Oryzias latipes: one gene and its partners. The protein of the gene in region 2 interacts with the protein of the main gene of each other region in a pairwise test. Links are inferred from orthologs where the notes say so. Each region holds a gene or a part of one and is shown on either strand. Other genes may lie near its edges.

Region 1 (4,123 bases), on a different chromosome or scaffold from region 2:
TTTTTGTTTTTCAATCTGGCCATGCGATCAGACCCACATACAACTCCCTCGGGGTACCAAAGTGCTTTATAATAAAAGAAAGACAAAAGAAGTTTAAAATTTGACACATTAGAGAAGAATCATGTGGCCCTCACAAGAAACAGTTTGGGGGACCCCTGCTCCAGCATCCACGTGGTGTTGGGAGTGGTTTTCATTCTTCCGATCATTCAAACACCACATGAACGCAGCATTTCTAGAAGTTTGTGTTTTAAACGCGATACATCAAGCTATTCATGCAATTGGCTCTAAAATAAGAACAAAAGCCACAGTTTTGAACTAAAAACTCAAAAATGTCCTGTTTTGAAATGTATATTAATTTCCAATCAAAACGTTTTCGTCTATATGGCGTGTTATTTCTTTAGATTACCAAAACACTCCTGGTTCGGCCCTTCTATCAAATTTTAGAACCCTTTGTGGCCCACGAGTGGAAAAGTTTGCCCACCCCTGATCTAGCTTATCCATAATTTGCTTGGAGAAGAATTTTAGCATTGATTAAGAAGATTAACAAATAGTCCAAATTGTTTTTGTTCTTATTTAAAAAAATAAGATATTTTAAAATACATTTAATAAGTGTTATTTAAGCTTTTAGTGCACTGGAAATATCTTTTTTGTGTAGATGCAATAGGTTAAAATTCTTATTTAACAACATTTGAGTTCTAAAGATTTAACACAATGGTTGATTAAAATGATCCAAGAAATGTTTTCAATTTATTTTAAAAACTGAAACAAACTGTAAAAAAAAACATGTTTTCTTTCTTGTATTTGACTTTTATTTTCGGTTTATACTTTTTTTTTTCATAATAAAAATAAAAATAAATGAATATTTATTTGCCAATTTTATGTTGAACCTGATAAGCTCAATAATAAAATGAAGTTTAAAGGCTGCAAAAATAAAAAATAAAATAATCTAAATTGACCGTTATCTGTCTGTTGTTCCAAAAACAGGTCAGAAATTAGGTTTTTGAAAAGGAAAGCAGAGTATAAAAAAGCCACGCTAAATTTAGGTTTTGTAGGCTTTATGTTTTGAGTTTTTGTTGGGAAATAATAGAGAAATAAAATTAAAGTTATGTAACCTTTTCCTTTTTTCTGCTCCGTTACTCTGATTTTTTTTTTTTTTTTTTTGGTTGTACAATACTTTAAAGACTACATATACAGTATATATTTACCTATCTCTCATGTTTGATGTGATTGTTTGATGTGGCATGTAATGAAGTCAAAAACGTCCTCACTGGATGGATCTTTTTCTCCAAAAACGGTGAGGCTGCTTCGTGGAGCCCCCCTTCCTGCTCCGTGGGCTCGGGCCGTGACGTCATTCCGTGACGCAGTCCGTCCTCCATCACTGCCTGAAAACACCCAGAACCGAGCAGAACCTCACGATGCGTGGAAATATGTAGTTAACTCGGCCTCCAGAGCAATTATCGATCACAGCGGGTTTGGTGGAACCGGTAAGTTATCTTTTGAACAGCTCTGGATAATATCCTGGGAGACGTCAACCGTTGAAACCCTCACTTCGGTAGCCTTGGCTGGCTAGCGGGGCGAAGCTAACCCCTTAGCCGAGCAGAGAAGAAGGTGATGATGGCGGCGGATGGTGGCCGTTATTTCCAGCTGCGGCGATAGCATCCGCCGCTGAATTTTGTCTTCTATCTTTTATATTTTGTATTCATTCTTTTCTGAATTCAAAATATTTGTCAGGGCCAGCCATTTTACTGCCACTTGAGCGTATTATCTTAAACCTTAAAAAGGCCGTGCTAGCAAGCAAGCAAATGGAAAGGATGAGTATAATTTTCCGGATGGAATCCCTGACGACCATAGAGAAGAATAATAACACACTTGCTTCTTTTAAACGTACTCTACCCATATGGATTTGCTTTAATCAATCTGGAAAAGCATATTTGTAGATGCTAACGACGTGCTATTAAATTATAGGAAATATGTAGGAACTGCAGCATCAGATATTTGACATTATCTCAAAGCTTTGCTGCATGCCCCCTCTCCTAAATGAATTATTATTTGATTTAAGTATATAAAATAAGGAAAACCAAACAGCTGGTTCCTCATAAAGCTTCCACAGCTTCCAGGTAGGCGTTATGTCAACTGATCAAGTGGGATGCAATTGTCAAAGTAGTTAAAAAAAAAATAAAAAAAAGACTCTCAGCTGTCAAACTGTCTTTTTACGCCTCCACTGAATGACTGTGCTGCTCTGGTTTTGCCTCCTCCAAGACAGTGTCTTAAAACTAAAATAAAATCATTTCTCAAGGTTTGATGCGACTGCTGCAGCTCCCTATTTCTCTAAAGGCTGTGGCTGTTATTGTTTTTTAAATCAGAAATAGTTTTACTGCTGCATTAGCTCTAATCAGAGTGCAGGAGAATCATTGGTTGACTTTTCTGCAGGCCAACAGCATAACAGCTACTTTGTATGTTTGCAAGAGTTTGGTTATATGCAGGACCGGATACCTGTCATATTGCTCAGATGATCTTAATATTTGACATAAAATTTCTCATATAACTGATATCCACATTAGGGTTGCACGATATAAAGAAAACTCACAATTTGCGATAATAGTGATCAATATTGCGATGATGATAGAACTTGCGATGCATGAACGAATAGCAAAACTACCAAAAGCATCAATTCCATTTCACTGCAACAGTTTGATTTAAATAAAAGTCAACATAACTTAAATTCTACTCCAAATGACCCTCGTCTGCATAGGAGGCGAGCATCTAACATTAAAAGGGCTCCATCTGATTGGGCAATAACATTAAGGGATTTATTTGATTTATTAAATACTTCAAGGTGTCATAAGATTGTTTTAGCACATTTAAGGTATGCAATTTTCACCGACTTTTGCGGTTATGCGTAATGCACAGCTTGATAATGCGATAACGATAAATTTGCGATTTATTGTCCAGGCCTAATCCACATCCAAACTTTTTTTTTCTTGGTGTTCACTGGTTCCAGCTGCTGACTTACAATCAGTTTGAGGACTTGGCTATCAAAATTCAGTTCTATAAAAGCAACAGCATTTCTAAGAAATAAAGAAAAAAGGTTGGAAATTGGTCACTAACTCTGCAATACATTTTTAGCAGATTCTTTAAGAAAACTAGCCTTTTCATCACAGGCTTAAGTTAGTCTTAGTTAAGATTTGTAAAGAATCTTCGGTTTTACAGGCCATTTTGGGAGTGTAAGCTTGTGGTTTGTGTCTCAGCTTTTTGGAAAGAAATTATGGGTCGTTTGAAAAAGGATCCTGCTTTAGAAATCGGTTGCAGTGAATAACAAAAAAGGTTTCTGATTTAGCCTGTCTGCAATGATTTTGTATCTTGTTTTCATCCTGTGTTTTTTTAGAAATATGCCAACAGTTAAAAATGTATTCAGCATTTTTTCATAAAACAAAACCTTTCTTTCTTTCTTTCTTTCTTTCTTTCTTTCTTTCTTTCTTTCTTTCTTTCTTTCTTTCTTTCTTTCTTTCTTTCTTTCTTTCTTTCTTTCTTTCTTTCTTTCTGTCTTTCTGTCTTTCTGTCTTTCTGTCTGTCTTTCTGTCTGTCTTTCTGTCTGTCTTTCTGTCTGTCTTTCTTTCATTCTGTGTTTATTTCTGTCTTTCTTTAGCCCTGTGCCTACACATGATTGCACAAGTATAGATCACTTTAAAATGCTATAATTTAAAACCACATGAAATGAAATAAAAACTGTGTTTAAAAAATAACTGTTGTCCTAAACTGCCTGCAAAGTACATGCTATTTGAAATTCTAACGCTGTGTTTCTAACATTTCTTTCTTCATCAGATATCTCGCATGGAAAGTTACCATGGGTGGTCATGATGATGAAGATATGACATATGTTGTAAATAAACAAAGGCAAGAGGAAGAGCTGAAAAACAAGCTGAATGAAGGCAGCCACTGGTGCGACCAGGAGTCTACAAGCAACAATGCCAAGTGGGTCAAAGAAGGCCAGAACCAGCTCCGGAAAGTAGCTGAGAATCATCAGGATCAAGATCACAACTGTAATATCAGTCAGAATGGAAACGAGGATGACTTTCCTCACCAGAACATCACTCAGGAAGAACAGCAGGGAAACGAAGAGCAG
Region 2 (4,031 bases):
TACTTAAAGATTCTTCTCATTTCTAGAAAGTTATGGTCTTACCAAGTTTTTCCACACACTGCTTCAGCAGTTTAATAACTTATTCAGGAAATAAAACAGTAAAGAATATTAAAATATGTTCTTTTTTAGGCACAGCATTTACATGAATAAATTATAAAATATTATAGTAATTAACATGAATATTGCAGAGTGCTGTGCTGTTGCATTTTGCCCCGTCAGCCCCAACATCTGTTTGCTACTCCTTGTGCTCTCAGACAGACAACTTTGACCAAACTGAGTCTCAGTTTTAGGGATAGCTCTCCGGTGCCACCATACTTTGGTTCTAGAAAATAAGTCTGAAACATGGACTGAAACATGAATCCTCACTGTTATGCAGTCACCTCACAGAGCACAGTTTGAAGAGAAAGCAGACAGCGCAGTGATTTAGGTAATTTAGAGACAACCCCCCCCTGAAATTATAATAACATTAAACTTTAACTGGCAAAATTTCAAACTTTAAAGAGAGTCCACAGCTCAAATAAAGTGTGAGGGTTGAGTTTTAAGGAGAGAGTCAATATCAACTCTACGGGGCGTTATTTATCCATTTAATTATGAGAACTATTCATTTTTTTAAGTAACAATTGATTCAACAATATCATTTTATTCCAATTTTAGTTATATTTGTATCAGAGGCATCTTGAGTAAAGCATCAAATAAATCTTGAACATTTGCTTTGTTGAATTTGATTTTTAACCATTTTGTTTCTCTGCTTTGAAGCTAAAGGAAGAATTCTAATCTACTTAAGTTTATAGCCTGTGTCATTTAGAAGAGAAACAGGGCAGCAACTATTGTCAATGCATGCTGTTCAAGAAGGATTTTGTCTGCAAAACACCTAACCCAAATATGTTGCAGATGACCGACATTGCTGAGTGTCGACATAAACCTGGTCTGTCTGTTTTTCATCAGACAGAATGAGCAGGAGACTGCAGAAGCTGCTTTACCAACTGACTTACAAAAAACCCAGAGATGCCATTCATGCTTTTGCCGTTCATGCTTTTGTTGTGATTGTGTGTGGCCCTTGAAATAGTGAGCAAAGACACATTTTCAAAAGAAAACCAGACTTAACAGCATACAGACAAAACTTTCCAACTATATATAACTATATATATACACTATATATATGTAGTGCTTGACAACACTCATAAAACAGAAACAGATTATGATAAAAAAAAAAAAGGTCCTAAAAACAAGCCTGGCAAGTATGCAAGTATGTTTTGTTTTTGTGACTGGAAAAAAAACCTGTAGATTCAATTTTTTATCAAAAAAAAACTCAACTTCAATAAGATGGAAACTAAGCAGTCAATGAAAATAGTCTTTCACAACCAACTGTTTTCCAACAGTACTGTTGGGGAACTGCCGTAAACATTTAAATGTAGTTTACTAATGCTTTATTATGAATCTTCAAGGGTAAACTTACTGGTACTACTTCTCTTTCTGCTCTTTCTGGTGAGCTAGGACGCGAGCCTGACAGTCCATTCTTTGTGGGTGTTTTTGCTTCTTTTTTGGGAAACTGGAGCTTCTTCATGTCCAGCCTGTCTGCTGTGACCCATTCATCCAAGCGCTTGTTGACTGCAGACACACACAATTTTACATTACCAACTAAAAGACCAACTGTTATGAAAAGATTATTTTTTTCCGTCCATATGAAACACGACCGAAACTAGAACGTTCTTTATGTGTTTGGAATCACTTTTGTTTTTTCTGAAACAATGACATGAATGAAAAGTCTAAGCTTTCTTTAATGATAGTGAAACAGGAAAGATGAACTTTGCTTTACTCACAGTCAATGTAGTGAACATAGAACAGCTTTCTTCCAGAAACCTCCTTCAAACTCAGGATCTCAGCCAAAGCTGCACAAGTAGAAAAGAAATTATAAATACTATTTACAAAGTAAACACACAGCTATTTTATCTTAATTCAAGTGGAAAATGAACATTCACAGTTATAATTAGTGCAAGAGTGGTTTTGCTTTTTAGCGCCAAGATAAAAATGGGTATTGCTTACTTTAATCACACTGATGATGTGTAACAAAGCTAGTACTTTGATTTAAATAGCTTGGAACTACCTCAGGAATTCAACAAACTAGATGAACTTATGCTCTTTTAAGAAAAAACATTGTCATCTTTAACTTCAGCTCTCATGTCTACATGATGAACTGTACTGGACAGCAGTGAATTATCACAATTTATACAATCCTTGCGTATGAAACTCAACCTTTTTTTAAATTCGTAATTTAAAATGTAGGGCTTTTGAAAAGCAAAATGTAATTCAGACTTATCTAAATTTCTAGTGTTTAAACATTGCGACTAAATGATTTCCAGCCCAAAAACACAAATAAAGAAGTAACAAAGCAATTTAGACCTAAACGAACAGTTTCTACCATAGCAGTCACTGCATTTTATCTGAATTTGTTTTTAAGGTTTTTTTGAAGGCCGTCATATTTGTTTGTTAGTTAGCATTAGCTTAGCTCTAAGCACGAACGAAAAGTACTTACGCCACTCATCCTCATGTTCCTGGTTTTTACGAAGAACGGGGAGGCGACAGCCTTCCACAATTTCGACCTGTTGATAAAACAGCAGATGTTAGTATCCAATAGTAGCTGTTATTTTTAAAAACAATAATATACGTTTCCATAACCTACCGAAGAACAGTTGTCCGCCATTTTCGTCGTTGGTGTAAGCTGCTGCAGTGTGTTGTGGGAAAATGCCGGTCCACATCAAAGACGTAAAACGCAGTGAGACTGAGCATGCGTCGCTAAGCGGAAGTTATGGAGCCAACCCGGAAATTTTTTTTTTTTTTTTTTTATTGATGCAGAACAAAAGTGACATACAGCAAAAGAACAAGGAACAATAAGCTGTACATCAAATGTTCAAAATAAACGCCAGGGGATATGCAAGCAAAAAAATAAACTTACACTAAATTATACAGCTGAGCAAGGTGATACGTTTTAATAGCTTTTTTGTTTGTACTGGGGGAAATGGAATGTAAGTAACATCTAACTTGGGCTAGTAAATCAAGAAAATTAGGAGCTTTATTGCTGAATTTAGATTTGTGAATATAATACTTGGTTAATAAAATTAGAAGATTTATTAAATAAAATTGAGATAAAAATGTCTTATCATAATTAATGTAACCAAATAAGATGTTTTTCCAGGTTAAATTAAAATGTGGATAAATTTGAGTTTTTATCAAATTTGTCATTTTGTCCCATATTTTTTCAGTGTACTTGCAGGTCCAAAAAATATGCACCAACGTTTCCTCAGACTGAGAACAGAAAAAACAGTTTTTATCAATATCCCTTTTTAGCCTTTGCATATACTGATTTGTTGGATAAAACCTATGAATGATCTTGAATGAAACCTCTTTCACTTTGTTGTTTAGAAGATATTTGTTTGGCAGAAGCCAAACCTTTTCCCAACACATTTGACCATGAAGTGAAGTCCAGAAAGTTATGGCCGGGGATTCAGTTTTGAGCTCCTGCTGGAACAGTCTTCGGATGGTTTTGTTTTGATTTCTCAAAGCAGAGAAGCAGAGTTTTCCGACAGCAGTGTCTGTCACATGAAGCTGTGGTTGGGGAGCAGATGGAGTAGGAGTTCCTTTATAAAGATAGGTGAGGTTGAGGGAAACGGCATCAAAAACAACCGAAAAGTCCTTCATAGAAACAGGGATCTGGTAGAACTGAAGGAATTCGGTGTAAGTGTAAAGTTGACCTTGTTGATTGAATAATTGACTAACTAGTCTGATATTATTATCAAACCACTGTTGGATAAAGATAGTTTTGTTTTTGTAAAGAATATATCTATTGTGTCAAATGTAAAACCTGTGAGGAGAAAAATTATGTTTATAAATCATGGACCAAGCAAGTAACATCTGTTTATGAAATGAAGATAGTTTGATGGGCACTTTGTCGGGCTTGTAGGTGCAGAGGAGTAAAAAGTCGAGGCCACCAACCTGGGAGAAAATATAATTGGGAATGAAGTTCCACAGAGAGT
Region 3 (4,117 bases), on a different chromosome or scaffold from region 2:
CAATATAAATACAGTACGGACAATATATTGTGACAGTGTACCACTGTCACAATATATTGTTCATATAAGTTATATTTAATCAATTCTGAGCTTGATGACTTCGCTTGTTTGTATTTTCTATTTATTTAAATTCTTTAATGATCAATTTGGATTCACTTTAGTAAAAAAAAAAAAGAATAATATTTTAATCTTCTAATTTAAATCAGTACTTAGACAGTACTAGATCAATCCCATGATATTTGTTATAATATGTATTTGTTTGTCACAGTGTCATTGGTGTCCTGCTAAAACACTTGGGTTGTTTAGTTAACATAATTCTTCATATTTTGGGTTGCATTTTGGAGCAATACTTTTTTTTGTAGCCTGAGTTTTTCTTATTTTCCATAATAGCCCAGAAAAAGTTAGTTAGAGTTGGGTTGTGTGCTTTTTAAAAATAGAGTTTTATGGAAACCAGTTGCCTATTGTGGGTTACCATTTTTATTTGTGCTACACATATTTGTCTTCATTATTGCATGTTGAAAAAATCCATGGAGCGCTTCATCAGCAGAGTCACCTGCAGTTCTTCCCTCTCACTGAAGAACTGTGCCCTGCTCTCCTCAGCGTGGACGGGATGAGGAAGATGGAGGCCCAGTTTGCTGACGTGAAGAAGACAGAGAAGAAAAAAAAGAGAAGGAGAGCACAGTTTGTTAAAATCACAGTTCTTTAGGAAGTAGGGATGAAAGTAATGTCATATCATAAAAAGAAATGTTTGTCCTGATCTGCAAAGTCTCATCCATAAGAGTTAAATAAAAGAATATTTCCAAGCATTTCCTACTATTTCGGTGTCCTCAGATCAAGGAACTTCTCTTTTACATCCAAGACGACATCTGTAGCTCTGGTATCTGGAAGCTGAATTTTGACCTGAAAGCAGCAGAAGTGTGTAATGTATATTTTTAAGTTTTATGTCAGTCCATTAGCAGCTCAAATGGAATTTTAGCCTCAAAAGAGGAATTAAACTTAAACTACAAAAGTTTCAAAGGAGAATTTTGACAAAACACAGAACCTGCAACATCTTTTACTAAACGTCTTCCTCCTAAATTAGTGCTCTGAAAAACTCATTTGGACGTATTTTCTTCAATGTCTTCTCCGTTGTCACACTTTTAAAAAGTGGTTTTCAGATTATGCTTTGTTCCTTTTTGGAATTCACTAAAAATGACACTCTGCGCTATTTGAAGACAATAAAAGAAAACTGAATACTGGACCAGCAGGGCTTCACAGCACATGGAGGAGGGGTCTTTCCCACTGAGGCCAAAAAACACATCTTCTGTTCCCACACTTTGCTTGAGGATCATTTCATACCTGTACACAGATATTGCATATAAAACACTCACTTTGCACATGATCTGGAGAATAAAGCTTACAATTTTCAATAATAATAAGCAATTTCCAGTGAAACAAGCTGCCTCAAAAGTATGTTTTATTAGCAGTGAGTCTCACTCAGGCTGTGGCCGCGGGTCAGCAAAGTCCATGAATCGAGAGCCTTCAGCCACCTCCTCCTCACTCCAGATATCCTTGCTGCTCTTCTTTATACTTGGCTCTGTGTCAGCAGCGTCACACGTACATTAACATTCACATTTAGCCTCAGAATGACACATTTTGAGAAGGTTTGTGATAAACAATAAAGAATATTCAATAGAGATGCCACAATTCTTTATTAAAAACTGAACAGTATGTTACGCCATAAAACCTAATCATGGGAAAAGTGAAATGTTGCATCCCTGCAGCATACCAGCTGTTATGCTACGTTTAAGAGGGATTTACTGTTTATTAAGGATGCAGTGATACACTTTCAATTCAGTTTAAATTTCAATTTTTGCGTCACGATTTTGCTTGCTTGCATGATTTGTGTATTGCAGACCAACAACAACAACAAAAGAAATTCTGAAAAACCCTTTTTTTAAATTGCTAAATGACAATAAAGAAAAACTTTTCAGATGGTTTTAGCTTAGCCTTGTGTAATGTAATATAACAATAAATACATGCAATACAACAATGAACAATAAATTCTTCATCAATTTAGCACAATACGTTTGACACTTTCAACGTAACCATATTGGTACGCAGTAGAGATGAAACGGTTCACTTGACCAATGATGCAGTTCAGCCGTGTAACACACGGATCGGTTTTGGTTTGTAATTGTGACATCCTTAGTGTTTGTTGCTTTATTGCATTACACTAGGTTCAGTATAAGCCACATAAAGGGTTTCTCTGCATTATCTGCAAATTTAAAAAAAGGGATTTTCCCAATTTTTTGTGTTTTTTGTCGTTGTTTTGTAATGCACAAATATGTATATTTTTAAAACATGAATGAGACCCAGAACTTGAATGTTGCCCTTTTACCTTCTTTAGAATTCTGTGGAGGGAGACCAATTTGTCCAGGGCCCAGCTGTGCAGATGGAGTCACTCTCTGGTGAGGTTAAAAAAAGTATTGACATACTTCCTCATTCTCTCTTTCTGCTTAAGTGTTTTTAAATCTCACTTGATCCTCTTCCTCCTCCTCTTCGTCTTCTTGCTTGGTGGATAACAGGGCAGACAGAGCCCTGAGGGTCTCCTCGGATGATAAACCCACATAATCCATTGGAAAGAAAACGTGTTATTCAAAAGATGGATGTTAAAACTAACACTAGCCTTGTTTAGGTGTAGAATGTAGTCACCAAAAAAAGGCCACAACGACCGTAATATCTGACAGACACTAAAGTTCGCAGCTGCTATGCTAACTGCACGTTTGGAACGTTGACGCTCGTCACCATGGAAACAAATGGGTTTCAGGCTGCCATGGAAACCAACAAAAAAAGAAAAGAAAAAATTTATTTCTTTAGCAAAGATGAACTGACTAAAGAACATTTTTGTAACATTATTTCTTTTTTTAGAACATTTTTAACTTAAGGCAGGAAGAGTCTAGAATATTTTTTATCCAACAATCAGATTTTTTTAATGGAATATAAAGTCGTGTTCATAAAAAAAAACAACTTCAATCACGTTATTTTTATATTCATTTAAATGAACAAATACAATTTTACAATACAAGTTTACTGTCAAAGCAAAACGAACGCAAATATCTGGGAGGCGGCGTCATGATTTGTGTCCCTTCTCGGACACCGTAGCTGATGTATGGCCCTCAGGGATCATGTTCAAGGTGACAGGTAGTGCCATGCCGGGATCCACGCGCTTGCTGCCGCTCGTTTGGGCTGCTGATGCCGCAGATGGTGGGGAGAAAGAGCCCGAGGCCCGGTTAAAGCTGGATGACCTGTCCCTGTACACCGCTCCTCAAAAGCCTCACTATGTGGAGCCAGCGGCGGGGCAGCTTGAGGAGCACGTCGCCACCCTCAGGAAGTTAGTTGAGCCCTACACGGGATGGTGTCAGGCCACCGTCGGTAAACTGAAACCCAAAGTGGAGAGTCTCGTGCAGTCCGGAAATGACTCCTACGTCTACCTGCAGAACCATCCCAAGGATTTCTACGCGCAAGCGGGGATCATCGGCTTCACGGGGCTCCTCGGATTGTTCCTCGCAAGAGGCTCCAGGGTTAAGAAGTTAATCTACCCCGCTGGTCTGATGACCGTGAGCGCCTCCTTGTACTACCCGGAGGAGGCGGTGACCATCGCAAAGTCAACCGGGGATTCGGTGTACGGATACGCGGTTCGGGGCTTCGCTGCGGCGGAGAAGCTCCTCAGCCCGCAGAGCAAAGACGGAAAAGGCAGCAAGGCAGAGACGAAACCATGACGGATGGATGGATGGATGGACGGACGGACGGACGGACGTCCCCGCGCAGCAATAACGGATCACGCGGCAGCAGCTTTTCTAGTACTGTAGATGATGGACCTGGACAGGTTCCACTCTGATGTCTGCACTATTCCTCATGCTTTACTCAGGCCAGACTTTGCCTTTAATAATTGACCTCTGCTACGGATTTGAATGTATATTTAATGATAAAGATCAATATTTTGCTTTGGATAAAAGAACTTGAAACACTTTAACGGAGTCTCACGTGCTGTCTACTGTTACTTGAATAGGACAAAAAGTACTAAATGAAGTTACTGAGGAAATACAAAGTAAATATATTTAAAGTTTTTTCATAA
Region 4 (3,500 bases), on a different chromosome or scaffold from region 2:
TTGTCTGAAGCTCATCCATGGCTTCATCAGAGAGCGGTTCCTGGTCCCAGACAAGGATCGACTTGGGTGTATTCAGACTGAAAATTTGTTCTGGATTATCGGGGGAAACAAACTCTGTTTATTTTAACCAAACCAAATGTGTTCAGTCTGAATACACCCTAAGTGACTTGCATTTTTCAAATTGCAGTCTGTCAAAACTTTCCACTGTAATGTGTTTTTTTGTGTTTACATGTCAAATTTTTAACACTGCATGAATTTGCCTCAACATGGGTTCAAATAGATTGACACAAGTAGGAGTGCCTTCCGGCAATTTTAAGTTCTTCAATTTTTTTGTTGAGTCGGCTGCTACAGGGAATTTCGCAACTACTGGTTTTCTTAGCAGGTCATAAAAACATCAAAATAACCTGCATAAGAAAAAAATGAATTGACAGATATACAATGTCTTCATTTGAAGCACGTTTTTTATGAGCTCACACCTACAAACTATTCTTTTACAGGTATTTTATATTATGTCTGAGGATTCACTTAAAAAGGAAGTGACTCATAAACGAAACTTTTTTTTTTTTTTTGACTCATAAACTAAACTCTAGGATGACCTCACATGGTGACACACCCCCAGCACTGCATCCACTTGCTTAGACTGTCCTTTGGGGACTGTAATTTTTAATGTTGTGCAATGCAACAAGCACAAAGCAAATTGTCCTGCTGACAGCTTTGAATGAACAAATAAGGTGTAGCTGCATTAATCAGTCGGTCCATGTAAGATGTTTGGATAGATCATCATATAATCAGCTGTTATCTTGAGTTTTACACACTGCAACAGTCTTCAGACATGCTACCATTGTGCAATATTTTGTTTCTTTGATTGCTAAAACTTTATCTTTGCCATTCTTGCAAAAGTGCCAAACTGACCTCAAGGTTGTTAAGGGTGTTGAACTCCATTAAGTCATGGAGTTGTGTGAATGCCTTGTTGGTGTACTGAAAATTAAAAGTGGAGTACGGCGTCTCAGGGTCGTCAAAAATGTCAAAGTCTGCCAGTTCCTTCTCCATCTCAGTTTCTCTGGGAACTCCTGCATGCAGAACACAGAACAGAAAACATATGTTTTTTTAAATTTCACCATTTCAGCTCACCTATTCCTTCACATTCTATAACCCCAAAACAGTTTCATACTTTCTCTGAAGATTTTTAGTCAATTATAATCGATGAAAAAGGTTTATTGCTCCCCAAAAACTCAGCTACCTTTTGATTTCTTTGCACATTAATAGAAAAAACATGAAGCCCCAGTCACAGGAAGAAGCAGCAGTTTAAAAAAAATACAGCTGCAAGCAATTACTGAAAGTGCTCTTTCCCTTCAGATGTTTTTGGGGTGATGTAGCTTCCATAAGCACACAGCAGAAGTGTTTGGACAGATGCCCTATAGACCATGTAGTGGAGAGTGAGTCACAGAATGGCTGTTGATGTATAGCAGGTTTATTAACCAAGCTCTCCCACTAGTGAAGATTCCAAGACCGACACGCTATTTCTGCAGGAACGAGATTTTACTCGAGAGGGTCATAAAACTGACCACAGCCCACTCTCAACTGACACGTCATTTCCCACAAAAACTCAGTGACCTTGAGAAGATGCTTATAATTCCAGAAGCTCATATGAAGCTGAAAGAAAAATAGAAAACACCATCCACTGCTGACTAATCATTACTGTGTTTGACGCATAACTTTAGGTAAGAGATTCTAATAATGATGTAACCTTTGCATTTTTTTCCCCATGGAGACTCAGGAAACACCTTTTCCCAAATAGAGCACACACACTTACCGGGTGCTTTGAACGTCCTGAAGTTGATGTTGACCAGGACAAAGTGGATGACGGTGGGACAGTTCTTTTCACCCTTCCTTGGTTTGAAGACGTAGCACTCCTTCAGGCCCTCACGGTCAAACACTTTGGGGTCAATCTTAGGGAATGGAAGCTTGTTCATTCTGGCCCACTTTTCTGCCAACAGCAGCTCCTGTAGAACAAAAAACAGAAAAGTAAAAAACGTTGCGATTTCTTTCAAAATTTTTTATCATTATTTCGTATGATAAAAACAGTTTGGATTGAACCTTAAATGGGGGGCTAGAGTCACTTGGTCGTGCAGAAAAGTCAAAAGAGATGATGAGGTCAACACCACGCTGCGGCCGCAGGATGAGAGGGTACGGGAGGTTGTATGTTAGGCCGCTGTCCACAATATGGATTTTCTTACTTTTCACATCAAGAGGCTCATAAATGCGATCAAATTCATCCGGATCTGAAAAAAGGACACAAAAATACAAATATTTGGGTTCAGTATTGGTGAAATTACACTAACATTCACATCTACTAAGCTCATTATGGCAATGGTTCCCATCTTGCCCACACATGTGTTGAAAACACTGAACCCCAAAATGCTGCTGGTGGTTATGGGTTGACGGCAGTATATTAGGCAGCAGAGCCGCCATCGGTGTGTGAATGTGTGTGGGTGAAGTGAGACTTTCTAAATACTATGAGACAACATTTTCAAATTCTGAAGTGAAACTATGACATATTTATGTAGGTATGTAATAAAACAAACCATTACACTTTCCCACAACTGGAATGATGTACGGATGGGAATTTTCTTCTTTTTTTTTTTTACTAAACACAACCAATCACTAGTAAAAGCTATTTCAGCCAACTTCACAGGTTGAAACTTAAGTCTATAGTTTCAAAGAAATGTAACTTATTCCCCTGCTACTCATTACAACAGTAATATGTCGGTCATGTAAGACAAAAAGACTGAAGATACCATCCTGATCAGTGGAATGCAGCTCACAATAAAACAGAAAGTAAAAAAGTATCTTAAAAAAATAATTTATTGACTTAAATTTGGCAAAATATTGTTAGTTGTTATTTTTAATAGTTCCAGGCCAAAACATTGCAGAGGATATTTATGGTTTCTTTAGTTACATACAAATGCAAAGAGAAAAGGGAAATACTACAATGAATTTTAAGTGATTCTGAGTAGCTCAATATCATAAAAAATGAACCAAATTATCATTTAATTTTATTGAAACTTTTGCAAAAAACAATGGACAGAGGGGCAAATCATTTATTCATCTTGCCTGTTACAGCATCCACCTCCTCCTCAGGTACTGAAGAGGGCATTACCCCAGTGACAGGAGAAAAGGGTACGCTTGTGTTCAGATTCAGGCCCAGCATGAAATTATGCACCTGCAGGAGAGGGTTTTCTAATAGTGACATTTGCAGCTTAAAGTTAGAATATAGACTGATTTATGTGCAGTTGTAAGACTTACCTTTCCAGCTCGTCCCTCCCTAGTGTTGAAGAGAACGGACTCACTGAAGAAGGACGTGAACGTCCTGTGAACCCAACTGGCCTGAGCAGTGCGGCTATACTCCTCCTCTGCCTCCTGGTTTTCCGTTCCACCTGAACACACACAAAGAAAGACTTGTCAAATTTTTACAAGGAATTTAATAAAATGGATGAGAT
Region 5 (4,134 bases), on a different chromosome or scaffold from region 2:
TACATGGTCTCATCTGGTTTAGGCTTCTGTCCAAAACAACAGAATGGAAGGGGGCAAAAATAAACTACTGAGTTCACGCGTGCACAGCCATGATTTTTTTTTGGCCTTTTCTAACCTTGTGCAGCACTGGATAACAGTGAGCATGGTCATAGAGAATGCAGTTAAAGGATCCATACACCCCATCATTGACGTAATACATCAGAGTCTTGTTGTCTTCCTCTGCAGAAGAGTTTATGGTTAGAGTTTAAGGTTAAAAAGCATTTCCAAAATAAAAAAAGCTTCAGTCAACAATATTACCATCAATGGGAGCCTCTTCATCAATGATGACCTTCTTGGCGATAATATTTACAACCAGTGTGTACGCAGACGCCACATAGAACCGCCCGGGCTCGGCAATGATCCTCACACCAGAGTCAACGGGAAAATACTTGTCCAATGCGGGGTTTATCGTTGCTGTGATCTAAAAGAAGACAAAAAAATACTGTTTAATATTTACAACCACTCTTCCTTTTCAAATCCTAAAATTCTTATAGCTGTTTGATAAACTTTTGAGAATCTCATGGGGCTTCATACCTCTTCAAATGAAAGTTCAGTATCTTCTGAACCAGGGAAACCCCCTCCAATGTCTAGGAGATCCATTTGGAAGCCCAGCTCCTCCTGTGAGTTCAAAGAATGCTTTTATTTTCACAACACGTTCTAAGCTGTGTCTAGATGTCAGCAGTCCTTACTTACACCCATATCAAAGACACAGCGTGCGTCTGCTATGGCCTTGACGAAGGTCCCAGCATCAGTGCAGCCACTCCCAACATGGAAGCTGACGCCAACGACATCCAGCCCCAGCTCCTTGGCACGCTCCAGAAGGCCCCGACAAGCTTTTATCGGGGCCCCAAACTTTACGCTCAGACGACAAACCGCCTTCGAGTCATCTGTGGCAATACGCAACACCAGTCTGCACCAAAACAAATGTATTATTAGAAGGGCCGCAATGCAAAAGCGTAGCATTCATTTCTTAGAGGTAAAGAGCCTTACTTGGCATTGTCATGGTAACGAGCGACTTTCATGAGTTCCACTTCACTATCAAAAGTCATCATCTCCACTCCGTGGGCAGATGCATACTTCATCTGAGAAACTTGCTTACAAGGATTGGCATAGATGATTCTGTTTGGATGCACTCCCAAGGACTGAACAAGCTGAATCTCTGTCTAAAGCAGGAAAACAAACTGCATTGAAAACTCACTTCTACTACAGAGAAATTCTATATTAGACTTAATAAGGTTTCTTTAAAGACACACCTTGCTTGCACAATCAAAGCCAGTTCCAAGAGACGCGAGAGTCATGACAACAGCCCGGCTGTCGTTGCACTTGACGGCATAAAAAGGTGTAACACGGGGTAACGCCCTCGTCCAGCGGAGGTGTTTTTTCAAAACATCTCCCAAGTCACAGACGTAAAAAGCATCCCTGTCGTCCTGCAATATCCAAACGATACAGTTTTTTAGCTGTAGTGTAACTAAAACAACAGCCATTTTCTTTATCTATCACCATTCCAGACAGCATATCACTTTGCCAATGATTGACAGCACAGGATGCTTACGGTCAGGGATGACTCATTGATCTTCTGCTCAACAATATCCCAAGCAGAAAACCCTTCCTCAAGGAAAGAAAATTCAAGTGTGGGCACTTCAGTGTTCATGGTAACGTGTGACCTAAACAGAAATGAGAGGCTGTCATCATATACAGACAGGTTGCACAAGACCAAAGTTCCAAATGAACAAGAAAAAAACAAAAAACTTACCTGGATACAAGAGACACAATTATTTGCTGTAGTTAATCAAGTCTTTGAGGCCAAGGTGGTTCACCGGTGAAGAAGTTAAAGCCCTTTAAATAAGACTCAATGCTAGGGCCTGTAGAGGAGCCGCGGTACGATTTCCTACTGTGGAGATTCTGTCAGAAGAAAAATAAGTCACTGAATCAGTGAATGAGCAGCAAGATGAGCCATTTTACATCTACAATACGCTGCACGTGTTCAGCTCAGACCCCTGAACCTCCTGTTCTGAGTTAGTCTCTAACTTTCAGCAAAGCTGCCATTTTTCCAAGAAAAGCCATGATAACGACACGAGGCCCAAACACGCCCACGAAAAACCGTTATCCAATCACAGACAGGGTCCGGCGTCATGGGAAGAGGATGAGCCAATCATTGTCCGAGCTTTTCGTGATGACGTCAACATACCGGTTCCGCCTGGACTGGTAAATGCATGTGCCAAGAGACGAGCTCTTTTTTCCATTTACTAAAATATTTGAATAAAACCGGACTTAAAGCGTAGAAACAGAAATGTTTAAGATCAGAGTCGCTGACGACATCAAACCAAAGCCAGAGGCCTGCGCTCTCCTAGCTTTAGCAATGTTAGCAAAGAAAGCTAGTTAGCAAAGCCATGATGTAAAACAGCCACGTAACGCTTTTGTAACCGCGTCCTGCGGTTCAATTCCTAATGAGATCCACGTCTCTCTTAGCCTTAAACAGGCACGCGGGCCCGACCGGACATTAGCCTGGTTGTCGGTACTTTAACCGAAAAGAACATCGTTACAGGCGAATTTAAGCGTACATACATAAAAACTGCAGCCGATTCAACGGCTTGTTAAAAATTCTCCTTTACCTGAAAAAGCATTTACAAAGAGCATGTCCATGAGACCGAGGACCGGGCGTTAAAAAGAGTGGTATCCCCGCCGAAAAGAAGCGCGTTCTTCGCGACGCCTTTCTGCCGGCTGACTGCCTGGGAAACCCGGTAGCAGAAGCAGAACAGACTTTATAGGGCGGCCGTTACCATGGCAACGCAGCCAGCTCAAACCGGCCCACGCTATATTCAGAAACCAGTTCAAGCTCGTTACTTGATCCACGTGGTGAGACATCAGACAAGGGCCACACGGAGGTTGTTTAAAGTTCTTTTGAACGTTTTTTCTTCATGTGTTAATCATTTTGGACAGCCGGAACTCTGTCCCGGTGTTAAAATTCATTCCAGTCAAGTTGACCTTTCAAAACTTGTAATAACCCCTTCTCCCCATAACCATTTTAGTCAGAGGAGACACTAATTACACCATTGTTGATACGGGATGCTGATGTGGAAACAGAGTAAAATACCAGATAGACAACAGATGAGCATGTTTCCTTTCTTTGGAGAGGACTGAATAGAAACTTCAGGATTCACTACATAGTAACCCTTGTTCTATCTTAGATGACCCCACCCTTCCATTGACGTGTTCTCCCTACCATGACAAAGGTGGAAAGATTTCATGTAATCCATGGACACCAGTGAGGATCACAAATCATTGACGAAAAACGGTTCAGCGCACTGTCTAATGGGTCTAGATGACCCAACTCCCAATGGTAAAGTGCCTAGGATAGCACAAGGGTTAAACAAGAGACAGGTAAATGGACAGCCATTTTTTAAAGACCCACTCAAATGAAAATAGTGTTTTTGGTGCTTTGGCATGTTCTTGTGGTATTTTAAGATGTTAGAGGACATATAAATAGAAAATTAATCTTAAAACGGCCTTTTTATGGATTTCTTTATTCAAATAGTCATGAATCAGAAACTACAGAGCCTTCCAGCTGTCAGTAGCTAAATAAATCTGGTGAACCGTGCGCACGGATTAACCAATTGTGCTTGTACTGTTGCGCCTGAACACGGCCTGTGACTAATGATAACGTCACACGTCATCATTACTGGATGAACTTCAGCTGGAATAACATCCGCCTTTACTCTGTCTGGACCTGACTGGAAACACCAATTCACGATTGGTTGCATGTTTTCTCAGGACTGTTCATTCAAAAGCCGCCTCCGCCCGTCCCAAAGCCGCTTCTCTGCTTGGAGAGATGAGATGCACAAAAGTTGTCAAGCCAGCCTGAAAATTTATTATTCTGATCTTCACATGTCCAAGAAAGCAGTCATTTAAAAACATATATTCAAGCACAAAAAGATCAAAGCTGAATTGACGTCAAACTGAAGAGAAATCTGCTCATGTCGGCTACATCAGGTTACTGGCTGATTTCTGTTTATTCTGGTTTTGTAGACTTGAGTGAGCCACTGTCTTTGTCATGGTGTTTTGGGTGAATTGTTAGGAACACTACACCCGGAGCTT
Region 6 (3,103 bases), on a different chromosome or scaffold from region 2:
GGCACGGCCATTACACACGTGTTAAGGTCAAACAGACGTGGAGAACCCCGCCAAACTCCAGGGTACTTGGTTTATCGCAAACCCGACGACACGCGTTTGTTTTTTTAAACAAAGATAAGAAGAGGCCCCTCCCCTTACATGACGCTAATCCCTATTCGGCGTACGGAGGGCACTAGCAAGAAACGGAACCATTTTGCGCTGAAATCGCCAGATCTGCACCACTTCGACATGCGCTGGTAAAGAGTAGAAGAAGCCCCTCCCTGCTGGTCCAGTGTGAACCCCAAATGCCTTTAGCGAGTGTTTTTGTGTCCCTAGCTTTAGACTTCAGACAAAAACGTTCAAATATAAAGTCTGTCAAGATTTCATTTTTTTCAGCTCCCAACAGTATTTTAGGGAAACTAAATGTTTCTGTAGCCTGAAAGGAGCAGAAAAGAACGATAGGAAGACAATATTTTATATCAAAACCAATGATTTGATCAGGTTTCTCTTTAAAACAGATTCATTTGGATCATTTGAGCAGTAAAAAGTCAAAACGATGCAAATAGAATGAAGGTGGAAACTGTTTTTGGTCGTTTTTGTTGTCATTATTTTCCCCAAATGATCAAATTACAACTTAATGTGGTTTAAAAAAATCTAAAATAAATAAATCTAAATAAAAATGGACTATAACCAGTTCTATGAGTAAATATCCCAAAGAGAGTCCAGAGCCCACAGCTTCTGTTGCCGCCGTACCTGGCGGCGCCCGGCTGCAGCCCCTCCAGGTGGCGCCGTCTGCGGCCCTTCGGCTGCTCCCGGGTCGGTCTGCAGAGGAACAGAGGCAGCGTGAGGATCAGCCTCCCAGCAGAACCCTGAGGAGCAGCAGGAGCTCCACCCACCTGGAGTCTAGCTCCGCCTCCAGCTGCGTGCGCCTCTCCTTTTGTGGGAACACCTGAGGAGGACAGCGCCACCTGGTGAGAGCCGGACCCTAAAAGATAAGCCTAAAGACTGTTTTAGAGGCAACTTTTGGTTTTATCCTCATTAAAGATAAAAAGAAATCCTTCAAAGTAAGAGATGTTTCTGAAGAACTTTAGGAAGCCAAGAAAAGATCATGTGACCTCAAAACTCAACCGATCCCACTTCAGATAAATGCTTCAACGTTTGTATTTTATCAATCTTCCCTCAGAAAAATCTGATTCTTTGGCTGAAATGGATATTAATATTTTATGTTTACATTGATTGATTTAAATGATTTTTTAGAAGTCTTTTTTTGCCAACGTGACGTTTTTTGACCCAGACTTTTATTTTGGTAAAACACTTTAGCTTTAATCTTGAACTGGGCATCTTAAGACAATAAAAGTCTTTGCTTAAATGAACTTCCTGTCAGGTGGACCAATAATTCCCTTTGGTCTTCCTCCAATCTTCCTCTTCAGCTTCCAGGAAATGGAATTTCCAGCTTTTCCTGTTGGAAGTCAAAGATTTGGATTTGGGAGTTTTTGCCTTGAGGTCTGTTTTGAAGGATGAAGGAGCGCCGGCGGCGGTCCGTTCCCCACCGTCCTGCAGCTCCGAGGCCTCGGCTCCTCCTCTAGCAGACCTGCAGAGGAGAAGGTTTCATACTAAAACCCCTTTGGGATTATTCCTAATCCTAATCTCCTCGTTTTGACACTGAGGCTCCTGAAAGTGAGGAAGAGGAGGAGTCCCGCTTCACCTGAGCTCCTCCATCAGTCGCCTCCTCTCCGCTTCGTAGAAGTCGATGACGTCCAAAACCCTGCAGACACAAACGCTGCTGTGGTGAGAGCCGCAGCAGAGCGTGGCGGCGGCGGGCGGCGCCCTCACCGCTGATCGGCGGCGGTCTGCAGCCGGGACGTCTTCCCGCAGATCTCCTGGAAGCTGCGGTTCCGCCGGGCCAAGCGCCGCTCCTCCTGCTCCACGGCGAAGCGCAGCTTCCAGCGGAGCTTGGCGGCCTCCTCCTCCTTCCTGCGCAGCTTCTGCTGCAGCTGCTCGCAGCGGCGCTGACGGGATCACAAACACACGGCCTTAACCCAGAACCAGAACCACAGAGGGATCACAAACACACGGCCTTAAACCAGAACCAGAACCACAGAGGGTTCACAAACACACGGCCTCAACCCAGAACCAGAACCAGAACCACAGAGGGATCACAAACACACGGCCTTAAACCAGAACCAGAACCACAGAGGGATCACAAACACACGGCCTTAAACCAGAACCAGAACCACAGAGGGATCACAAACACACGGCCTTAAACCAGAACCAGAACCACAGAGGGATCACAAACACACGGCCTTAAACCAGAACCAGAACCACAGAGGGTCCAAAAACACACGGCCTCAACCCAGAACCAGAACCAGAACCACAGAGGGATCACAAACACACGGCCTTAAACCAGAACCAGAACCACAGAGGGATCACAAACACACGGCCTTAAACCAGAACCAGAACCACAGAGGGATCACAAACACACGGCCTTAACCCAGAACCAGAACCACAGAGGAAGGACCGCAGGTCCAGAGCTGAAGACGGCAGTCTGTTGACCAAAGCTCTGCGCACTTTGACCCCAACCACTTTCCAGAACTCCTTTACCATATAAGGGATTTCTGGATGCTAGGCTCGCATCGCAATATCAGCATTTACGTTATTCATATGCTAGGTTAGCATCAAAGTTACGTAATTTATTTGAAAAAAAAAAAAAGAAAATTCACGACATTCATTTGGGACGATTGCATTCAAATAACAGAATTTACGTAATTTTCTTTGCGAGGTTCGCAACCAAAGAAGATCAAGTTTACGTCGTTTCTATTCGATATTTGCAAACAGACAACATTAAAATTGATGTATTTCTATCCTATGTTTATTTCCAAATATCTGCGTATTATTTGATTTATTGTATGCAATGTTTACAAACAAATAACATAAATTTCACTGAAATACCATCAAATTTACGTTATTCGTAAGCAAATTTCCCAAACAAATAAATACTTAAAATCGACGTTATGAAGTATATTTAACGTTAAAAATTTTCTTCCAAAGTTAATTTTTGTATATGATCATTGCTACAAAAAATGACAAATGTTTATGCAATATTTGGGTATAATTATTAACGTAA
Region 7 (3,985 bases), on a different chromosome or scaffold from region 2:
TATCAAACAACTTGGGTGTAAACGAGGTTTGTGGGATTTTCTAGAAGCAAAGTATTCTTGTTGTAATAAATATCAGGTTAGAATTTAATTTAAAACAAAAAATTGAGGTACAATTAAGGAGAAATCTAAAGGCGTGTTTGCTTTCACCTTCATTTTCCCCTTAACACTGACTTATTCATTTCAGTCTTTTGATAACATCATTGTTTCTGCTTTTACAGCAATATAAACATCAAAACATTGTTTTAATTAAATCTCTTGAACTACTGAAAATACTTTCTTGCCAGCCCTTTTGACACCACATCTTGGGACTTCAGTGGTTGTCTCTGCAAGTTCTGCAACCACTTGAGGGTTTCATCACTGATGCCCTAACTTTACAGAAATAAAGCAATAATATAGGGAGATTACCACATTGTACACATTTTCTTTTTTTAAAAAGTATGACTTAGAAAAAACTCTACCTAAATATTAATACATCTTTCATTGTAATAAAATTGAAAAAATTCTGTTTATTTAATTATCACAATGTTTAGTATAACTGTATCTCGTATAAGTTGCTTTTACCCAAGCAAATTTACAGTGCTTTTATTTTGGTAACATAAAATATATATAGGGAACAGTCAACATTGTCTGAGTTTTCCACAACAAAAAATTGTTCAGTACAAGAAAAAAAAATAGAATAAATGTCCCTTAACCAATACGGTTCTAAAAATATGTTTGAAGAAATAAAAGTCTGCTTATTTTCACATTTAAGAGGCCTTCTAAAAGTACACAAAAGATGCTGCACTAACAGCCAAAACAATGAAAAACGTCAGTCTTACAAACTCTTGATTAGTTTGCAGAACCATCAATACTTAAACCACTTCATTCTTTTTTATTCATCATTGCCAATTTCTGTTGTGTTTTAATAAATTTTACACACGATACAAAGACGTTTTAGTTGGACAGACTTTTTCTTTTTAGTTCTAGATCAAATTTAGTAGGAAAGCTTCTTTATTTCCCTTGAATATAAATAATACATTCAAGGGAAATATATTTTAAAATATAAATTATCTTGAGGAGGACATATACAGCATACAGTTATCTATTGACAGACGCTACGGTAATAAACTCACATCCCAGACCAGAAGGTGGCGGTAATGCGCCGTTCTGTTGTTTGCCACCCGCTGTATATATATTTAAAAAAAACTTTTAAAAAAACGTCCAACGAAGAAGAAGAAGCGAGCAACCTTCTCGCCTTCGTGGCAACGGACACTTCGAGAAGCTTGGGTTTGGAGACAGCATGGCTTCACCTGTCGGTTGTGAACATTACGTACGCGGTTGTTTGTTAAAAGTGAGTACCCGTTGTAGCCTCAGCGGAAGCAAAGCTGTATGCTAGCGTAAAATGAAACAAAGGACGGACAGGCCAGGGGGCTAACTCAACAACAACTGTAGTGGCAGACCCAGTCACCGTTTGTCCGGAGCGTTATGACAGTTTTGACAGATGGAGCTCATGTCCACTTTAAGATATTGGCAGGACGTCGAAGTTAATGGGTTCCATGTGTTTTGTTTAAAGGATATACACTTCATATTAAGTTTATGATTTTGCGACTACTGCTCTGCTGCTGCTTGTGTTCCTCAGCCGCACATTGCCACATCGTTATATAATTGTTAACCGACATTTCTTTAACGTTTCCTGAGATGCCTACCAGTTAAACCCCATCCAGATGTTGATGTTCCCCTAACGTTTGCGTGTTTTTGTGAACTCCAGGCGCCGTGCTGTGGGAAACTGTACGTGTGTCGTCTGTGCCATGATGCTCAGGAGAACCACCCGATGGATCGCTTCAAAGTCAGAGAGGTGCAGTGCTCCAAGTGTAACACCTTGCAGCAGGTAAGTTGCATAAATAAAATAAACCACCAGCTGTAGTTGATGACTTTTTATTTTTATGCACGTTACCCTAAATGTGTCCTGTTTGTGCATGCTTCTCTAGGCCCAAAAAACATGTCAGCAGTGTCAGTTACAGTTTGGGGAATATTACTGTGACATCTGCCATTTGTTTGACAAGGATAAGAAGCAGTACCACTGCCAGCCCTGTGGAATATGCAGGTAAATGTGTCATTAACGGCAAACACTCATCAACGGTTTACTAAATGGCGTATACTTATATGGCGCTTTTCTACCTTCTTCAGGGCCGTAGCGCTTTAGTCACAATCCCATTCACCCATGCACACATTCATTCACACACTGGTGGTCTCAGGAGAAAGTTAGGATTTTGTCTAATAATTAGAGGTGTAGCGACTGATCGACTTAATCAGTGAATCAATTTATATTCCTAATATCCAACAAGATCGATCTGTCTGAGGCAACAAATCGACTTAAACCACTATGAAACTGTTGAAAAATGAAACATACCCATAATATCTATTGAAAAAAATCTCTGTCTTTCTCTGTATCTGAAGATATTTGCATGCTTTGGATTTATCGATCGATGTTGTTCTGGCTGTTTTCAGAAACACTTTATTTTTAAAAATCTATACTTGATCCTAATTCTTTTGCTGTATGTTAAAAAGCTCAAGTACAATGGGATTGTCTGGTAAAAGAAAAGTTGTGCATTTCTAATGAAGAAACAAACAGGAAATCTAAACAGTTGCAGGGGAAACGTGAGTTATCGGTATCGGCTGGAAAAAATTATAACCGCCCATCCCTAGAAGAGACACCACAGAAGAGGCTGATTGACAAAACCAACAAGTCACAGTGAAAAAGAATCAATAAAACAGCGAGACAGCGAAATATAGCGAAGGAACACCACCGGTAGTGATAATATTCTCCTAAAGTTTGGTACATCAGAGGAGGAACGATGCAGGCAGCGCCATGAACAGGCAAAGCCCACGCCATGTAAAATTAGGGTCAGCAGCGAAAAGTCTGGATTGAAAATTTTAACTGAGGTCTAAAAGCAAAGAGGGGAAGAACCAAAAAAAAAAACAGACGTTGAAAAGAAAAAAAGGCTGCTGTTAGAAATAAACATAATTTTCAGGTTTAAAGTTGTTTTTTAAAAGTCAAATTTACTTTTTTGACAAATTTTCAATAATTCTTTCAACTTTGTTTTGGTCAAAGTCATAATTTCTTTGTTTGTTTTTTTTCAAATTTTTAATAATTCCTTGAAGTATACAAAATGTACTTTCAAGTCTTAATACAGTTTTCAAGTTTTCCTTCTCTTCAAATTTACAAAATGGGTTTTCATTCAGTTTATGCTGTTCCCAATTTCCCTCCATAAAAAATGTCCTGGATGGAGTTTTAGGTCAGTGAATCAGTTCGTTCAAAATGAAACGATATCACCTATGAATCATATCAGCAACCACAAATTCTGATATGAATCAAATTGTTAAAATTAATCTTTAAACCCCTAATAATAGTTCATTTTTTCTTTTTTATCCAGTTACCCACTAACAGATGAGTAAACTATGTGTGTTCTGGTATTGGCAGGATTGGACCCAGTGAGAAGTACTTCCATTGTGACAAGTGCAATTTGTGTCTGGCCCAGGATCTGAGAGGAAACCACAGAGTGATTATGATTATTCACCTCCTTCTGATTCACTCTAATGGAAGAAGTTCTCACTTTGTTTTACTGACTTTGGTTTTTTTTGATTACTTTCAGTGTGTCGAAAATGTCTCTAGGCAGAACTGTCCGGTTTGTATGGAGGTATGAAACCTTAAAGTACATGTAAAACTAATATTGGATTTTCGTCTTTATTTGAGCCCAACTGTTTTTTTTTTGTTTGTTTTCTCTTTGTCAAAAGGATATTCACACGTCCAGGATCGGTGCTCATGTCCTTCCATGTGGCCATCTTTTACACAAGTGAGGCGACTTTTCTTTTCTGTTGGCTTAGGTTTATGTGTGTTAACTGCAAATAACAGTTTACAGACGAGCTGCAATGATTTCAAGCTATTTTATAAATACTTTAAACAGATTTCCTTTTAGAAGCACACAAATTAACACCACCAATGAGT

What was found.
Region 1: the proteins of kat5 (region 2) and apbb1 interact in binary tests that used the Homo sapiens proteins (3 or more experiments, as listed by UniProt). The link is inferred for Oryzias latipes from reciprocal best matches to the Homo sapiens genes KAT5 and APBB1.
Region 3: the proteins of kat5 (region 2) and pih1d3 interact in binary tests that used the Homo sapiens proteins (3 or more experiments, as listed by UniProt). The two-hybrid records come from large-scale screens. The link is inferred for Oryzias latipes from reciprocal best matches to the Homo sapiens genes KAT5 and DNAAF6.
Region 4: the proteins of kat5 (region 2) and pla2g4a interact in a two-hybrid assay, tested with the Homo sapiens proteins (2 studies listed by BioGRID). The link is inferred for Oryzias latipes from reciprocal best matches to the Homo sapiens genes KAT5 and PLA2G4A.
Region 5: the proteins of kat5 (region 2) and odc1 interact in binary tests that used the Homo sapiens proteins (3 or more experiments, as listed by UniProt). The two-hybrid records come from large-scale screens. The link is inferred for Oryzias latipes from reciprocal best matches to the Homo sapiens genes KAT5 and ODC1.
Region 6: the proteins of kat5 (region 2) and cep70 interact in binary tests that used the Homo sapiens proteins (3 or more experiments, as listed by UniProt). The link is inferred for Oryzias latipes from reciprocal best matches to the Homo sapiens genes KAT5 and CEP70.
Region 7: the proteins of kat5 (region 2) and rchy1 interact in a two-hybrid assay, tested with the Homo sapiens proteins (2 studies listed by BioGRID). The link is inferred for Oryzias latipes from reciprocal best matches to the Homo sapiens genes KAT5 and RCHY1.

The regions. Positions count from the first base shown.
Region 1 is NC_019871.2:9,726,916-9,731,038, reverse strand, and holds the start of apbb1 (amyloid-beta A4 precursor protein-binding family B member 1), read left to right. Parts: upstream 1-1,323; 5' UTR 1,324-1,484; intron 1,485-3,822; 5' UTR 3,823-3,844; coding exon 3,845-4,123. UniProt on the Homo sapiens protein: Transcription coregulator that can have both coactivator and corepressor functions. Adapter protein that forms a transcriptionally active complex with the gamma-secretase-derived amyloid precursor protein (APP) intracellular domain.
Region 2 is NC_019872.2:15,162,042-15,166,072, forward strand, and holds the start of kat5 (histone acetyltransferase KAT5), read right to left. Parts: upstream 2,801-4,031; 5' UTR 2,702-2,800; coding exon 2,681-2,701; intron 2,601-2,680; coding exon 2,534-2,600; intron 1,890-2,533; coding exon 1,821-1,889; intron 1,609-1,820; coding exon 1,457-1,608; intron 1-1,456. UniProt on the Homo sapiens protein: Catalytic subunit of the NuA4 histone acetyltransferase complex, a multiprotein complex involved in transcriptional activation of select genes principally by acetylation of nucleosomal histones H2A and H4.
Region 3 is NC_019875.2:2,473,855-2,477,971, reverse strand, and holds pih1d3 (protein PIH1D3), read right to left. Parts: upstream 2,801-4,117; 5' UTR 2,619-2,800; coding exon 2,520-2,618; intron 2,448-2,519; coding exon 2,381-2,447; intron 1,577-2,380; coding exon 1,477-1,576; intron 1,339-1,476; coding exon 1,242-1,338; intron 901-1,241; coding exon 815-900; intron 636-814; coding exon 506-635; 3' UTR 455-505; downstream 1-454. Other genes in the region: MICOS complex subunit MIC26, read left to right, coding at 3,168-3,761. UniProt on the Homo sapiens protein: Plays a role in cytoplasmic pre-assembly of axonemal dynein.
Region 4 is NC_019862.2:15,098,526-15,102,025, reverse strand, and holds part of pla2g4a (cytosolic phospholipase A2), read right to left. Parts: intron 3,438-3,500; coding exon 3,307-3,437; intron 3,224-3,306; coding exon 3,115-3,223; intron 2,283-3,114; coding exon 2,098-2,282; intron 2,004-2,097; coding exon 1,814-2,003; intron 1,071-1,813; coding exon 913-1,070; intron 1-912. UniProt on the Homo sapiens protein: Has primarily calcium-dependent phospholipase and lysophospholipase activities, with a major role in membrane lipid remodeling and biosynthesis of lipid mediators of the inflammatory response.
Region 5 is NC_019880.2:20,006,623-20,010,756, forward strand, and holds the start of odc1 (ornithine decarboxylase), read right to left. Parts: upstream 2,801-4,134; 5' UTR 2,652-2,800; intron 1,942-2,651; 5' UTR 1,793-1,941; intron 1,704-1,792; 5' UTR 1,691-1,703; coding exon 1,592-1,690; intron 1,467-1,591; coding exon 1,293-1,466; intron 1,203-1,292; coding exon 1,030-1,202; intron 950-1,029; coding exon 733-949; intron 658-732; coding exon 574-657; intron 461-573; coding exon 298-460; intron 220-297; coding exon 116-219; intron 27-115; coding exon 1-26. UniProt on the Homo sapiens protein: Catalyzes the first and rate-limiting step of polyamine biosynthesis that converts ornithine into putrescine, which is the precursor for the polyamines, spermidine and spermine.
Region 6 is NC_019860.2:1,157,418-1,160,520, forward strand, and holds part of cep70 (centrosomal protein of 70 kDa), read right to left. Parts: intron 1,989-3,103; coding exon 1,813-1,988; intron 1,745-1,812; coding exon 1,685-1,744; intron 1,571-1,684; coding exon 1,477-1,570; intron 929-1,476; coding exon 876-928; intron 802-875; coding exon 733-801; intron 1-732.
Region 7 is NC_019867.2:25,253,050-25,257,034, forward strand, and holds the start of rchy1 (RING finger and CHY zinc finger domain-containing protein 1), read left to right. Parts: upstream 1-1,185; 5' UTR 1,186-1,279; coding exon 1,280-1,330; intron 1,331-1,747; coding exon 1,748-1,867; intron 1,868-1,967; coding exon 1,968-2,083; intron 2,084-3,460; coding exon 3,461-3,539; intron 3,540-3,632; coding exon 3,633-3,677; intron 3,678-3,774; coding exon 3,775-3,833; intron 3,834-3,985. UniProt on the Homo sapiens protein: E3 ubiquitin-protein ligase that mediates ubiquitination of target proteins, including p53/TP53, TP73, HDAC1 and CDKN1B. Mediates ubiquitination and degradation of p53/TP53; preferentially acts on tetrameric p53/TP53.